2 linked regions of the Cricetulus griseus genome follow. The main gene of each other region encodes a partner of the protein of the gene in region 2 in a complex. Links are inferred from orthologs where the notes say so. Each region holds a gene or a part of one and is shown on either strand. Other genes may lie near its edges.

What was found.
Region 1: the proteins of Llgl1 (region 2) and Prkci are in contact, whole or in part, in a cryo-EM structure (PDB 8R3Y), measured with the Homo sapiens proteins. The link is inferred for Cricetulus griseus from reciprocal best matches to the Homo sapiens genes LLGL1 and PRKCI. Residues at the interface, in NP_004131.4 of Homo sapiens: Ala315, Asp319, Glu367, His391, Ser392, Ala394, Thr396, Glu453, Cys483, Glu484, His485, Phe506, Asp507, Pro508, Tyr509, Ser510, Asp511, Pro513, Gln518, Lys519, Lys569, Ala600, Val601, Thr602, Leu644, Gly648, Pro649, Leu650, Ser651, Arg652; in NP_002731.4 of Homo sapiens: Asp339, Met341, Gln345, Arg348, Leu381, Asp382, Met399, Thr412, Phe413, Cys414, Pro417, Leu425, Glu445, Gly449, Arg450, Ser451, Gly457, Ser458, Ser459, Asp460, Asn461, Pro462, Asp463, Asn465, Thr466, Glu467, Asp468, Tyr469, Leu470, Phe471.

Annotation. Positions count from the first base shown.
Region 1 is NW_023276806.1:119,648,616-119,653,069, forward strand, and holds the start of Prkci (protein kinase C iota type), read left to right. Parts: upstream 1-1,360; 5' UTR 1,361-1,556; coding exon 1,557-1,657; intron 1,658-1,947; exon of another isoform or gene 1,948-2,007; coding exon of another isoform or gene 2,008-2,012; intron 2,013-2,161; exon of another isoform or gene 2,162-2,176; coding exon of another isoform or gene 2,177-2,184; intron 2,185-4,454.
Region 2 is NC_048600.1:74,695,156-74,699,433, reverse strand, and holds the start of Llgl1 (lethal(2) giant larvae protein homolog 1), read right to left. Parts: upstream 3,028-4,278; 5' UTR 2,954-3,027; coding exon 2,873-2,953; intron 57-2,872; coding exon 1-56. UniProt on the Homo sapiens protein: Cortical cytoskeleton protein found in a complex involved in maintaining cell polarity and epithelial integrity. Involved in the regulation of mitotic spindle orientation, proliferation, differentiation and tissue organization of neuroepithelial cells.

The sequences.
Region 1 (4,454 bases), on a different chromosome or scaffold from region 2:
GTGCACACACATAAAAAATAATTAAAAATTTGACCATCTTGTTTTAGCTATAATTTATAGTGGATAGTAATCAGTTCATATTTAATAGGATGATGCATGTCTAATTGTCAAAAGAATACGTTAGTGGGAACTTTCATATACTCCAAATTTGTGACTGTTGGCTGATGCCATACCAAATTAAGTGTCATGCATATAGCTCTCATGAGTTAAGCACCCAAGTGTAATTTGTGACTATAAAGAAAGCCCTATCTTTGATTATTTCAACTCTACATATGTTGCTATCTGGGCTGACTGGGTGGCTGGATTCAAGCTGCCTTAAGTATAGTAGGTTACATGACACAGCCAATACCTGAAGAAGTCTGAAAGTAAATTACAATGATTGATTATTTCTAGTTCTGTTAGCTAGTGTCAGTAACAAACGCTAATGAACTGAAAAGCTAGTTAAGTATTCATTGGGCACTTGGTTCCATAGAACAGCAGTATACAGGGGGCCTGGGTATGGGGGCCCTGAGGAAATCTCTTGTATGATATCTCCCAGTTTAGTGTCTTCTTTCGTTGCATTCATTAATGCTTTTGCTACCTATATCATTACATTCTCCCAATAAAAGAGTGAGCTGGGCAGTGGTGGCGCACGCCTTTAATCTCAGCACTTGGGAGGCAGAGGCAAGTGGATCTCTGTGAGTTCGAAGCCAGCCTGACCTACAGAGCGAGTTCCAGGACAGTCAGAGAAACCGTTTCGAAAAAATAAAAAGAGTGTTCTGAGCAGGTAATCAAATCTTGTTCCCCCAAGTGGCACTGTTTAATTTCAGTGATCGATGAAATTGGCATGGAGACTTTACCTAAAAACAGAATCTAAATCGTGAAGAAGCCAAGTTTCCAATGCCCTCAGATACTCGAGCTGTTTTCAGGATGTCCATGCCTAGAATCCCAGGAAGCAGGAGATAGAAGCAGAAAACGCGGCTCCCTATACTTAAGAAGCACGTCCCAGAATCCCACCGGGACTCCAAATCCCAGAAACCCGCGCGCAGCAAATCCATCCAGGAAGCACAGCAGGCTCGCTGAGGACGCGACCAAGTACAAGAATGGGGGGATCAACTCTACGCATGTGTGTGCCCTATAGATGTTTCGCAGGAAAATTTCGGTTTAAAAGCTGAATTTTAGAAATTATTTGAATTTCCAAGATCTACTCCCTTTCATATAGTCTTGTGGTAGACTGGCGGATCCCGTTCCCGCTGCTACCCTGTCCTCCCCCGTAAGGATGAGAGCGCCGGGGCTCCGCAGCTCCTGCGCCCGCCCGCCGCGGTATGCGGCCTTGGGAGCGAGCGTGGTGGGAGGAGCCGCGGCGGGAGGCGTGTTGTGCAGCGCGGCGGGAGGAGCGTCGGGGTTCGGGCTGTGGCGGCGAGGCGACCCTTCGCGCAGCGCCGCGGGCAAGGCGGGCAAGTCGGCGAGGCGGGCGCCCACGGCTTCCCGACACACTCAGGCGGCCAGCTCCCTCGCGTCGCCCGGCACTGCCCCGGCCCCCTCGGCCTCCGGCGGCGAGGCGGGGGAGTGAGGAGATGCCGACCCAGAGGGACAGCAGCACTATGTCCCACACGGTCGCGGGCGTCGGCGGCGGGGACCATTCCCACCAAGTCCGGGTGAAAGCCTACTACCGCGGGTGAGTGACCGCGCGGGCGTGGGCGGGCTCGGCCCGGGTTGGCGGGCTAGGGTCTTGGTGGTGGGGCACGAGCCATCGTGGGGGCGGCGAGGGGCGCGGTTGGTGGCACCCGGGACGAATGAGCGTAGGTCGCCAAGGAGTCAGTGGAGAAGAGTAGGTGCACCCGGAGGGGAGAACAAATCAGCTGACTGAGAGATTTGCAACTGGGTGGATTGAGGATTTTGAGGGTGCTGCTGTGGGTTCGGAAGCCTGGACTGCTCCTGTTAGCTGGCTCTCTTCATTACCGACAGGCCTGAAGCCTCCGATTTTGTAAACCAGATTTGTATCTGCCCTTCGCCGTTGGAGAGTTCATGAAGTGAGTCTGGACTAGGGTCATATAGCCAGTATAGGAATTAAATTTAATACTAAAGTCAAATTTTTTTTTTTTTTTTAGGATGTGCCCTGGCTCCTTAGGTATGGTCAGAATTTAGTGGCAAATATGCTGATCTACATTTTGGAAGCCCTTCTTTAGTGAGAGATATGGAAAAGTGAGAAGACAGCTTTAACTCCTGTGGTTTTCTTCGCTCAGTTGGTCACCAGGCCTTTAAATTAATGTGGCTGCCAAAAGTAATCCAGTTCTAAGAGATCATTGCATCAAATAATTCTCTATCATGACTTACCGTAAAGTTCTTCCCTTTCTTTGAATTCGGTTTGTGGCTTGAGATCATTGAGGAGCACTAGTGAGTGTGAGCATGGGGACTGAAAAGTAGGGATTAACAGAAAACCCAACTGCTTGTCTAGGCAGATTGCTTTTAAAAACTTGGAGTACCACAAGGTTAAAAGTGCTATGCGTGCTTTTACATTCCTGAGGGGATCAGTGAAGATAGCAGACCTTCGGATTGCTTTCTTGTTTTCATTTCAAAGAGCACTGGAGCTCCATGTCTTAATGCTTTCACAAAAGGCCTTAGACTCTTGGAGGCCAGCCTCTGTAACATCCGCTGATTTCAGGACTAATTTGTAGGACTTACAGTAAGCACTGTTGTTAGTTAAAATATAGGCGAGAGAGGTTATGACTTTAAAACAATCCCCCAAACACATTTTCGTTATTTCTTTTCTTGTGAGTTTTTTTAATATAAGTTGGTAGTTTTCATAGCCGCTTTAGCCATTTTGTTTCATGGCTAGACATGAACAAACTTTGCAAGATTGAAAGAACCACAGTCCCCCCTCCAGGACAAATCACACAACTTTATGATAATTTAATAGATATTTTACTTAGAACCCTAGTTCTAAACCTTCCTAATGATGTGGCCCTTTAATACAGTTCCTCAAGTTGGGGTGATCCCCAACCATAAAATTAATTTTATTGCTGCTTCATAACTGTGATTTTGCTATTGTTACCAGTTGTAATGTAAATATCTGTGTTTTCTGGTGGTCTTAGATGGCCCTGTGAAAGGGTCCTTTGATCTCTGCTTAAAGGGGTTGAGAACCACTGCTTTAAAGAGTGCTCCATTTTCAAAGTTGACAGTCCATGGCTATTAGGTGCAGAGGATGAAGTACGGTGGATTTTTAAAAAACTGCCTGATTATTGATAGGTTAACAAACCAGAGTCAATATGAATCCAGGGACATACTAGGAAAGTACATATTGTGTACAGGTGTAAAATAAAGTGTGTCTTTTAACTCTCCAGTCTCCACAGGCTCTACTGTTGATGGTTAACTTGTGGTTCTTCTGAAGGTTGCATTTATTATTCTAAAAGTTGCATTCATTAATCAGCCGCTTAGAGCACTTGCTATTCTTCCAGAGGAGCCAAATTGGGTTTGAAGTACCTGCATCAGGTGGCTTACAACTTTCTGTAACTTTAGTGCCATGGGACCCAGTACCCTCTTCTGGCCACTGTGGCACCCCATACATGTGACACACACATATACATAAACAAATTCTTGGGTTATCATCTTTAGATAATATTTATTGATTACTTAGACTAAAAGATGAAAATTAGTGTATATAATTTTCTATACTATATATACCTTCTGTTTCCTTTGTCTCTCAGATTTTTGTTGTTTAGCTATTGTTTTTAGTTTTTCACTTACTATTCTTAGCCTCCAGGGACTCGATGAAAGAGCAAGGAATTAATGCTTTTTCATTTTCTCCATATTTTTATTAGTTTAACAAGTATAAATAGGCACATTATATCAATAATTTCCAAATTTTCTTTGAAAAGAAATCTTTATTTATTGCTCCAATTATTTAAAAAAAGAAAAGAGAATATGGATATAAGATGTGTCTGTTTAAAATTTCTTGAAGACAATCTTCTAAAATTTAAGAAATTTTACTAAAAAAGACACAAATGACTGCAAGTCTTCAGTGCTTTGTAATCAATAGTAATGTCCTGATAGTACTTTTTCCCCAAGCCTCTTCTACAGACAACCTCAGTACTCTAAACTGTACCATTTTCTGTTCTCTGAGTCAGCCATTAAGATTATGTGTTTATTAACAATAATCTAAACTGGTGATTATATTACAGCCAGCTGCTTATTAACATTGATGAGACTAAAATGACTCACTAGCAAGGACACTTAATAAATAAGTAGGATAACAAATCCCACACATAATTAGAAAGTAGACTCCCCTTCCCTTATACTGTCTTTAATAAAGGAGGGTTTGCTTTTGAAAAATATTTTTTGGGCTGGAGATATACTGCTCAGTTGGTGGAGTTCTTGCCTAGAGTGCATAACCCTGCCATGGGGGACATTGTAACCCCACCACTTAGGAGGTAGAAAGTAGGGAGTATCAGAAGAGTGAGGTTGTCCTTGGCTAC
Region 2 (4,278 bases):
AGCTCAGGGTCAAAGGCCAATGCACTGGGCTGGTTGGGGAAGCCATGCTCCACAGTCTGCAAGGGAGGAGAGGGCTACATGGGCAAAACACTCTGGGACTACTGCTTCCATTTGACCCTGAAGGTACTGTCCATCTCCCCACATGGAGAGAGCCAGAGAATAAGAATCCCAGCGCCATCAGAAGCAGGGATAGCATTCGGGGTCCTGAGCACTGTTGGTATTGATGCTGACGCTTCTCTGCTCTTTGTGAACCAGGTCCAGTGCCCTTCCCTACACACCAAGCTGCAGTATCTACCCCTTCCTGTGATATGCTTTCTCCCACTGGCCCACCAATCACGAATCTCCCACCCATGTAGCTGGGACATGATTACCCTCAAGAGATGTCAGATGTGGTCTGGTAGCACACAGTTATCTTAGCATTTGGAAGGCTGAGGCAGGAAGATCCTGAGCTAGAAGACCGCATAGGCCACACAGTGAGATGCTGTTTCAAAAATAAATACATAAATAAAAGAGGTCATCCACATGGGGGACAGTAATCTGAATAGCTGGTGTGGCAGGGCCTAACTATGCAGTCTTGGGCTGATCATGGTACTCCATCCATCCTGCTTCTACTTGGCAGTGACAGTGAGCCCATCCAAAGAGAGCAGGGCCACCAAGGTCAGGGAATTCCTATTCTCAGGAGCAATGCCATGCCGTGTCCAGATCTGACCTCCTTTAGTTAGCCTCGGACTTACAGTCTAGTGTCCAGGACACACTAGAGCATGGTGGCAGCATGGCAAGTCCCCATACTCCTGAGTAGACACCAGCAGGCTCATTTATGGAAGAGAGGCTAGATCCCTTATGTAGTGTCTGTCCTTTGCATCTCACCTCCGATCAATTCCTGAGTCCTATTGTCTTACCTTAAGACACACAGAAGTCACCTTCTCACACTCTGCTCCAGGCCTACCCACTGCCTGCCTAGACCAGTGCTCACTAAGTCACCTATGAAAACCAGCCAGCCATCCCTACCTCCTCCCTGCTGATCCACAGTGAAAGCCAACTCCTCACCATGTGGCCGCTCTCTGGGCATCTCAGTTCACCTGTTTCCCACTCCAAAGGCCTTTGCTCTTTTGCTACGCAGCAGCGCTTGCCAGGGCTTTGACATCTTCTACACTCCTGCCCCCTCCCCCACCAAACTGTGCTTTACCTGGCACTCCTAAATGGCCAGCTCTAAAAGGCCTCCCTAGCTGGTCCTGCCTGCACCATCATCCCAGGGCCACTTCCCACACCCTCATCACACCATGTTTTATCCACAGCACCGGCCAGTCCTGTGAACTACTATATATTTTACTTTTCTGTTTTGGATCTTTGTTCTCATCCTCTTCCCAATGCATACACCATCCCTTCAATGAAGAGTTGTCTCTTTTGGATTCCACTGTGTCCCTAGCAACACGAGGCAGGAATCCAAATTAAACCAGCTTGAGATGCACATCCTATAGGCAACTCCTGGTCTGAGCTGGGCTTGAACCCAACACCCAGGGTAAAAGTCCATGTTCACCTTTGACCACAACCCCAAACTCAAGAATCTGGGGCCTATTTCCTAGGGATCTCCTAACACCCCCTTTGGCAATCAAATCCTTTCCCCAAGATAACCTCTCTCCTATCTCTGCTGCCCACTCAAATTGTGCCTCACCCTCAACTGCTGCCACTGCAGCGCCAGCCAGGGTGAGCCAAGCTGATTCAGAGCCTCACCCCATCTGTGCAGGTCCCTTATACACCTCCATTCACTGGCTAAGACCTATCCTTCTTCTTGCTCCAAGGGGCTCACTCTCATGGTCACCCCAGCAAAAGCAGAGGCTCACATCTGGGGAGCCTCTCCTCTCCTCTCAGGTCTTTGGTAGGCTCTCAGTTACTGTGTCTGTGAATCCTGGCAGCCCCATCATTGCTGCCTGGGACCGCAACAGGAAAAATTGAGCCATGGCAGCACCTCCCCTGAAACATATCTCCTAAGAGAAGTCCAAGGTCCTTAAGCTCTGCTCAGGACGGTAGAAGCTGCTTCAAAACTCTGGGTCCCTACTCCATTGTCATCACACAACAAGGCAAGAAAAATAAGCGGCCCACTCCTTACTGAACCTCAATTTTTTTCACGTACGTAATGGAAATGAGAAATCAAATCCTCAATGGCAGGGGTACATACGGGCTCTTCGATAAAAGTAACATTCAACCCGAGTCCCATCACTCCAGATCAGAGTTAGCCTTGCAGGGCTCTATATTGTTCAGTGCCGGGAAGGTGAGGAGTGAGGCCTTTCCCGGGGCCCCTTCTGCCTCACATCTTTCCAACTTTAGTAAGGTCAGGCCGGCCTGGTTTCAGGGAGATCCAGAATCCACAAGGAGGAAACTGGCCTCGTTTCATGGCGTGGGGGAAACTGAGGATCTATGGTTTAAAATGCAGCTGGGCACACAGACCAGCACATCTCCTAGACTAGGGACCCCAAGACAGGGTTGAGCCTGGACAGAGGGGTGGAAGCTCCGCACTGGGATTTTTCCAGCCCCACCCCCCACTTCTCCCACTCTTGCCCGCCCAGGAGTTGAAGAAAAACAAAACCTGGCCCTGGGTGCCCCTCGGCCGAGCCGGGCCACATTACCAAAAATGAAAGAAAAGAGGCCAAGAGTAAAAGGCAGATAGGCCAGGGGGACCCCAGTGAGCCCAAGGGGCACCCGGGAGAGACCAGGGGTTCAGAGACCCAGGAGCAGAGAAACAAGAGGAGCCAGAAAGCGCACGGCGCAGCGCGGGGCACAACCTGAGACCCCGACCAGGCACGCCCGAGCAGCGCGGCGCTCCCAGGGCAGAGGCGCCCGACGTGGCCCGCCCTGGCCGCCCCCGCCGCCGCACCTTGTGGAAAGCGAAGAGCTCCTGCTTGAGCTTCTCGCGCTGCGGGTCGGCACTCTGCCGCCGGAACCGAAACTTCATCATCTTGTGCCCGCCGCGCCGCCGCCGCCGCCGCCGCCACCGCCGCGGGATGCGCCCGGCCCCGCCGGTCCTGAGGCGCGGGGCGGGGCCTGCACGGAGGCGCGGGACGCCAAGGACGCCCGCCCGCCCGACCCAAGACGTGAGCGTGCCCGCCGTACCGCGCCGCCCCTTGCTCGCCAGACAATGGGCAAGGACCGGGCCCCGGGCTCGCCGGGCTCGCCGGGGGGGGGGGGGAATGACGCATGCGCATTTGTGCAGGGCCTGCTGGGACTTGTAGTCCGGGGGTGGGTCTCCAGCGTGGAAAGCAGGGCTGTGGTTTGGAGAAGGCTGTTTTCCACTCACGACTGAGCTACGTGCACATTCTCATAATGCCAGAGACAATTCCCTATCCCTTCCGGGCCCCACATCCACTATCTTTGCCAATGTCCAGAGATTACCGAGTCTGTGTGTCCAGTTTTCACGGATCACAACTTTGTGTCTTCCTCCAGAGTGTCTCCCACGCCTAGCTTTTTGTCTCAAATATGGATTAGTAAAGAACTCCTCTCTAGGAACCGTGTGTGCTGCTTTAATTACAGCACTTGGGAGGCAGGCAAGACAGGCAGATCTCTCTGAGTTACAGGTCAGCCAGAGCTACACAGGAAAACTACGTCTCAATAATAATAATAATAATAATAATAATAATAATAATAATTCGCTCATCCCTTGGGGAACTCTTATGCATTCTTCAGGACCCAACACAAAGGGTTCGGTTAGCACAGGCTCAGAAGATCCTTGAGAGGGACGGAAGGCAAAGAAAAGGAACTGCAGAAGGTGGCATATGGGGTTAATACTGGCTTTCCCCGAGGTCCCTCTCCTATCCCGACAGGGAACACCGAGAACAAAGCTGCGCCCGCCCCCACTTTCTTCCTGTCCCACCCACCTCCCAAGACTTTTCTCATCTGAACAATGGCCTCTATGCTGAACCTTTTCCTGCAAGCTGAGGGGCTCAAAGCTGGGCGAGATCCTGCGGCCGCCACTCCCCCACCACCACCACATCCCCCTCCTACCAGCTGTGTGAAGAGGAGTTGACCTCTAACCCTGAGGTAGCTGCTCAGCCGCAACAGGGACTTGGCAACCCGCAAACTGCCCAAGGCCAGCTTTGCTCAGCCCTCACTGGAAGCTGAAGCTCATTACTTACTGATCTTTCTGGTGCTGTTGATGAAGTGGTTGGCTTGACAGCAAAGGGCGCCTCCTAGTCTCAACAGGCTTAATAGTTTTAAGAGCTCCCTGAGAGGCACAGATATCACACTGTTTTTGTTTTTTTACCGCGGTATCACCTCAGATCCACA